Linked DNA regions of Saccharomyces cerevisiae S288C. The gene in region 1 interacts genetically with each later gene. Each region holds a gene or a part of one and is shown on either strand. Other genes may lie near its edges. The genes, in order: YPS6 and YPS7.

The links.
Region 2: of YPS6 (region 1) and YPS7, changing one enhances a phenotype caused by changing the other (phenotypic enhancement), as found in Saccharomyces cerevisiae (one study listed by BioGRID).

Annotation. Positions count from the first base shown.
Region 1 is NC_001141.2:430,287-434,221, forward strand, and holds YPS6 (aspartyl protease), read right to left. Parts: upstream 1,826-3,935; coding exon 212-1,825; downstream 1-211. Other genes in the region: seripauperin PAU15, read left to right, coding at 3,643-3,935.
Region 2 is NC_001136.10:1,172,548-1,176,482, reverse strand, and holds the start of YPS7 (putative aspartic endopeptidase), read left to right. Parts: upstream 1-2,306; coding exon 2,307-3,935. Other genes in the region: ATP22 (Atp22p), read left to right, coding at 1-363.

The DNA.
Region 1 (3,935 bases):
AAAAGTGTGCACTTATAAGGTCGTTACTATCTTTATTGCAGTTAACAGTCTTCGTCATATGTATAATCATTACGCTGTAGGTTTCTTATTTTTATATGAAGCAGTGATATATAACATAATAAAGTTTCATCGCCTTTTACACAGTATATAGGGCTTCACCTATACAGTCCCACACAGTAACACACTGCGAAACTATGTATCTCTTCTCTACTTATAAAAGAAAATAAGATATGAAGGACAATAATGAAAAGGAGAAAGAAGAACGGTATTTGTAACCTGCATTTTGTTTTTTAGTGGTGCTTTCGCTAGAGCCGCCACTACTTGAGAAAGAACTAGCATCATCGCTTTGGGCTGCGGTGGCAAGCAATGATTTGTACTGTGAAAATTCCGAATACGAGGTCCAGCTGACATTAATAAAATCTCCTGTTCCGATGGGACTACCGGGCTTATATACCCATGTACTAAAGTATCCGGGAGCAGGGGTGGCACCTGGGACAGTATCGGAGATAACCTCAATATCTTCTTCTTGATTATTAAAGCTAGCCTGAGCAATAGAAATTTCGTAGTTTTCTAAATCGTAGACTACATATGCGTCGACAAGGAAAGCATCTCCCAGCATATAAGTGGACTCGGATTGCTTAACATTTAAAACGCAACGATCCTTAGCTGATGTTACGAAATTGGATATGTTTGCCGATATATTAAATCCTCCAAAGTCGACGGACAGTAAAGTATCGTTCACTTTTGAACAATCAAAGATGTAGCCTTGGTCGTCAGAGCTGTACTCTCCGTCAAAACTTTTGCCGATTGCTTCTGCAATTTCGGTGGGTAAATAGGAGAAAGTTGTGCCAGAATCCAACATCACTGGAAATTGAATATCCGAAACAGTTTTATTGCCAGATTCACTATCCAAAATTGCCACACTTTGTGCAGTAATAATCATCCCAGGATTTGAGCCAAGGGTATTGAATGCCTGCAGCATAGGCAGGGTGTAAAGCTGTCCTGTGTACTTACTTTTGTCCACTGCACCAAACAAGATGCTCCCGAAGTGTGCATCAGGTCCATTCAAAAATAAAGAATACGCTATTTTATTAATCTTTCCCTGATTTTTTAATTCCATTGGAAAGTTATCATATATGAAAGGTGTTCTGTTCAATGCCAATGCGTATTCGATACCATCTGTAAATTCTGCAATGGGAAGCGATATGCCTAAAATGCCACTTGGATTGCCTATTGTATCATTTGATACACCAAAAGTGAAATCATTTAGAGTAATATTTTCGAAAGAGACAACATCCGTACCATAAGTCCCTGCATAATACGTACCATCTCCGTATGTGTTATTGAAAAACGTCGCATTATTCTCAAAAGTAGATGAGTTGCTTGCATCGAATGTACCCCAATAAGAGCAGAGAGTGTTATAAGCTTCTGATGAGATGGTAGTCGAAGGAAGCCCATTGAACGTTGCTGTGAGCTCGTAATTATCAGTTGAAGCGTAGTCAGATCCGTCAGACATCGATTTGCAATAGGCAATGTCAGCATTATTCACAATCATATCTGAAGAGCCAGTATCTAACTGTAGGTACAACGTTTGTGGAGGCGTTCCGATTTCCATCTTGACAACATACACTCCTATTCCATTTATCACTGTGGTGTTAAGAACCTCATTTCTTTTGAAGACGGTAGAAACATCCTGTGTGCATATATTTATAATATCAGCCAACTTTTGAACAGGAAACTTAACATAGGAACTTGCGGAAGACCCTAAAACGGTCAATGAACACATCAATGATGACAACAAAGAGAGGATGGAAATCAATTGCATATTGATAGCTTTGCGTTGTCTTCAAATATCCTTATTTTCGAAAGAGACAAAATTTAACAACTGATCAACCAATGAAAAAAGAGAACAAGGAAGAACGATGAAAAACCCTATTCCAAGATCATAACACCTTATATACTCTCAACTTTGAAAGCAGTTCCAAAGCTTAAATCCTCGAAGAGTACTGCTTGCATGAGGTTTACGCAACAGGTCTAGTCAGTTTTAACTCCTCGGATATCTCGAGATATTTTGCTGTAGTGAGCGACAGGGTAGCAAATTTTTGGACCCTTAACCCCTTATACAAATTACCACCATATGTTCCTTTTCTGCAGCGAAAACCTCGGTGTTGTCAGAAACAATTTAAGAAAAGCACAGGCGAAATTGGGCTTGCACTGGGTGATCAACAATGCCAGAAATAAATGAGAAGCTTTTTACTCTTGCTTTTGCTTCTTCCTCTTTATGTTCAAGCCAGCCAAGCTATGTTATAGTGTTGAATGTCTTGAACCGTTATAGTTTCTAAAAATAACTTTACATTTTGTTATGCAATCTTCATCATCTCGAACTTTTCAACAAACGTTCAACAGTGATGGTCTTCCCCAGTGAACCAAAAGACATATGACGCTCGTATGGTATGTTAAAAACAACATAGAGGATAGTAGGTCGGGGTTTATTGTAGAAAGGACATAAATAGTTGACGTGGTAAATTTTCATCAACTAAAGCCACATCTATTTTGCCAAGTAGGAGATAATGTAATATGTAGAGGGATCGAGATTTACTGAAGCCTCACGTGAGGGCAATCTGGAATCAGATTGCACTGGTTTGCACCATACCTCTCAAAGAAGAAAACGTACTACTTTTTTAGTTGAGTATGGATAGGGTAGTGTTTCCTAAAGTTATAAGGTAAAAGGGGCAGAGGAAAAGTCGATAATAATTTGAAAGAAACTTGCTTCCATATTCACAAAGGAGCTGGATACTTCATGTCATCCGCACATATATCTACAAAAATTTCAACTTTTTGAGGTTGATACTAAGTCTTTCGCTACCAAAATGAAAGAAATCAATTTGGAGAGACTTAGGCTGAATATTTCCGCGTTCTCTCTGGGGATGAAAGATTTCTTACTGCAAAGAGTTTCAGTATTTACGGATTGGTTACAATTTTTTTTTTTTATCATAATCAATTCTTTGAATATCAACTTCTCTCAATACCATCCGCCTCTCAGCGGCTACAATTACGTAATTGCACCAAGGCCTTCGCCGAGAGTTTACATATTTGCAGACCCTAACAGTATACGACTCCCAACACACGTTTAATGTTGTACGAATTCAAGAGATAGAAATATTTCTTGCATGGAAGCCGTTTAGAGCAGACTGAATATGGGCTTAGACAATAAGCTTCTGTACGAGGGTCCAAATCTAAAATTCGGATATTCTTTTTGACCGAAAAAGGAAATGTCACAGGCACAGAAAAGGGTTTTATAAGGCACCTCGGCACCCTATAATTGGCATTCCCACATTCTGCGCATACGAATACACATGAGTGCCATAAAACAATACTCCACATACGAAGTCTATGAAAGATGTATGATTCGTTCAGAAACAAGGTCATCTCCATAGAGATAATGAGATTGTGTGAAAGATGAGATATGGAGGATATGTGAGGTGCTAAATGAGCACCTGTTAACGAATCGTTTAAGTAGTGATGACTGATGAAGGCATGGGTATAAATAGAGCTGCTTCAACTGTATGTCTTTGAGAATATGTTTTTATTCCTTTCTTTCCTGTTAAGCTTATATCAGCACTAAAAAACAAAACAAATATAATGGTCAAATTAACTTCAATCGCTGCTGGTGTCGCCGCCATCGCTGCTGGTGTTGCCGCTGCCCCAGCCACTACCACTCTATCTCCATCTGACGAAAGAGTTAACTTGGTCGAATTGGGTGTTTACGTCTCCGATATCAGAGCTCATTTGGCCCAATACTACTTGTTTCAAGCAGCTCATCCAAGTGAGACCTACCCAGTTGAAATTGCTGAAGCTGTTTTCAACTATGGTGACTTCACCACCATGTTGACTGGTATTCCAGCTGAACAAGTCACCAGAGTTATCACTGGTGT
Region 2 (3,935 bases), on another chromosome or scaffold:
ATGCATAAAAATGGGGTGCCTTTAACGTTTAAATTTTGTTCTGCAATGGTAATGCATTATGTCAAAATGAGAGACGAAAAAGGAGCACGCTCCTGGTACAATAAGATACTCTTCGGGGGCTTTGAAATCAGGCATATGGCTTTGATACAGATAATAAAAGACCAAGGCTGGCCGTTTCCCAAAAACTTTGACGAAACTTTACTGACGGAATTGGTGGAAAATAATAACATTAAAGAACCTACTGATAGCACCCTGTTTACTGACGAAGATATGTTCGAAGAAGATGGCAAGCCTAGATTTAATGATGATGATGTTAATAAATGTACAAATATTATAAGAGAGACGTTGAAAAGTCTAAATTAATATCCAGATGAGCACTAGTAAATAGTAAATATTCATTCATAGATAGTAATTTACCCATAAGTTATTAATACCTACAAAGTTTTTTCATAAGTTTATGAATATGTCTTCTTGGCCCATGGTTACTTTATTACCTCTAATACCTTATTTACTTTCTCAAATAAATGAGCCCTTGGATTTCATTTACTGAGAATAAAAAAAAGTACCGTGCTCGGCAAAAATGCTCCAGGGGAGGTTCGAACTCTCGACCTTCAGATTATGAGACTGACGCTCTTCCTACTGAGCTACTGAAGCTTTGTTTTGTACAGACGTTACATCTCAGAATGGGATACGTCAGCATGACAATACATTATCCTGAACGTTCATAGAACACATATGAAACCTAAGAAAACGAACAGATTGAGCAACATGAGGTAAAACTCCGCCTTCTATAGCTGGGCTATCTAAACGTATAAATGCCTGAACAATTGGTTTATGAGAAATGGGTGTATTTTGAGAGACTTGTTGGGATTCCATTGTTGATAAAGGCTATAATATTAGGTGTACAGAATATACTAGAAGTTCTCCTCGATGATATTGGAATCCTCTAAATGGAATCTATATTTCTACATACTAATATTACGATTATTCCTCATTCCGTTTTATATGTTTCATTATCCTATTACATTATCAATCCTTGCACTTCAGCTTCCTCTAACTTCGATGACAGCTTCTCATAACTTATGTCATCATCTTAACACCGTATATGATAATATATTGATAGTACAACTATTAGTTGATAGACGATAGTGGATTCTTATTCCAACAGTTTAGATCCAAGGTTCCGCGCTTCCACCATTTAGTATGATCCATATTTTATATAATATATAGGATAAGTAACATTCCGTGAATTAATCTGATAAACCGTTTTGACAACTGGTTACTTCCCTAAGACTGTTTATATTAGGATTGTCGAGACACTCCGGTATTACTTGAGCCCGTAGTACAGCGCAGGCCTCCAGAGTTGAATTATTCTAAATTCCTGAATAATAACAATTTTGCAGACAAAATTCAGGCAATAACTCAAAAGAGTAATCTTTCACTGCATTTAAGGCGCTAAGATTCCCGCCAAAAGTAGTCGTCACAAAAGAACGTATATAAAATGCACTTTCGAGCGGTGACAATGTGAGAAATAGGTAAATATTGAGACAATTGTTGGGATTACCCTGTTTCTCATCTTTTATGTCATCTTTTTACACCGTATATGATAATATGCTAGTCGATAGATGGTGGTCGATTCTTCTTCCTGTATACAAATATATGAGTTGGGGATGTATATTGCAAAGAGCTTGATTATGACACATTGCCAGACCAAAAAACAAATCTCTTTCTATAATGTTCCCAGGTGGGCTAATTTTTTAAATAACGACGGCAGTATATTGATATTGGAGAGAGTTGTATTTATTGTTCGATATTTATTTTGATATCAGCTTTATATTGTAAGTGTTCAATATTTTAATTAGTGTGTATTTTGTAACTTTACTGCCAATTATCAACATAATTACAAAATTGTTATAAAAATTGATGCACTAGTGTTTCGGTTCTTGCTCTTTTAACCAACCGAGCCTAAAAAAGAGGCTCTTGAAAGTAATTTAACCCAAACAATGAGATCTTCATTCTTTTTTTTTTTACCTCAGCTATGACTTGCAGTGCTTTGTATCATACCGCTCGTTTGGTCGTGCTATTTGCAACAATGAACCTCGTTACCCCGAACAAAAAAAAATGAGATATTGAACGCCGCAGCTCATCATGGTAGAATGATGCAGCTAATACCAAAATAAGTTATATTTAGAATGTTGGACATATCAGTTGCATTAGACTAATCGTTCTAGAAGGATACAGAACTTGGAAAGATCTTTGAACGTATCGTAACTGCGTGCTTGCTTTATTTGCCGTTGATTTTTGCTATGACATGCCTAATTTTATGGTATCTGTGGCTCATATCAACTTTTCAGTTAGAGTTTGCAACGGCTAGTACTGCAAATACAACAACTACAGCAAAGTCTGGAACCTCTTCGTCAACGGAGGAGCCGTTTCCTGTACTAGCCGTGGGTAAAGATGGTAGAGGAAACTACTATGTTAATAGCACATTTGGCACTCCCGGTCAACGCCAACGTTTGCTAGTGGATATTATCCAACCGTACATAAATCTGGTTTCCGGAACAAGCGAAAGTCATAACGAATACTCCGGTGTATATCATAAGCATCCCAGCTACCTCATGAATGACTCTACATCATCTGTTCCTGTTTCTCCTGGCCAAATATATGAGATTTCTTTCATTGATGGTAGAGCTGTTAACTGTACTTTGGTGACAGACGATATGAATTTTACAAATGTTTCCTCAGAAAATTCCTCGACCGCTTTGATAACCGATTTAATGGTAACTCGAGATAACGTACAATTTAACTCGGGGAGCCTATCCATTTCAAACGTTTCCTTCTTTGATATTCAGTCCTCGAACTTTAAGACTTCAGGCTTGTTAGGTTTAAGCGGGAAGGTCACAAACCCAGGCAATGCTATCGATAGCTCACAATACACAGAACAGTCTTATTTTCTATCCTTATTGAAAGATGCAGATATCATTGAAAGTTCGTCATATTCACTGTGGTTGGCTGGAGACACTTCCACGTACAAAACATATAGAGATCCAATATCTAATTGTGGGAAGCTACTTCTTGGAGGGGTGGATCCTTCGCTGTTTACCGGTACACTGGGAAAATTTGACTTAATTCCTTACGTTGACCCAGTGAGTAATGCTGTTAGTGTTGGGTACCCAATTGTGCCATTAGGCCCTATTTATATTGTGTCTAACAGCGGACAAAGTTTGAATATGACTTCGAAGGACTTTCTGAGCCCAGCCTTACTTGATTCAACTTCTTCGGTCAGTTACCTGCCAACTAGTACCATTATTCAGATTGCCGTTCAAATTGCGGCCACTTATGTGGAATCACTAGATAGGTGGCTAGTCCAATGTTCTATAGCAGATATGGGTGTCTCCTTGGGTTTCAGGCTTCGAGAATTGACAATTGAAATACCCCTACGTGATTTATTATCATCTACTTACGATACATCCACCAATTCTTCAATGTTTTTCAGTTCTGGACAGGAAGCTTGTTTTCTAACACTATACGCTAATACAAATACTGGAGTAAACATACTCGGAGAAGCCTTCATAAAAAATATATATATGGCAATGGACTTAGAGGATAACACTATAGCCATTGCACAGGCAAAGAAGGTTGAAGATGACGCAGTTACTGAAGAGACAAATGAAACTACCGCGTCCACTATCATCAAGAAGATCAAATCTGGTTACATTCCTTACGCAAAAGTGATGAATAGTAGTAATACAAGAAACTTGACTCTTTATCCATCCTATAGGTCAGGCTATATGTTCACTGTCCCAGGTCAACTGACAGCAGCATACTCAAACGGTGTGATTACAGGTGCGGGCCGGTCATTCTATGATACTTCAAGAGCAAGCACAAGTGCTAGACCATCCAGTACTCAATTCGACAGCTTTTCTGTGTCAGCC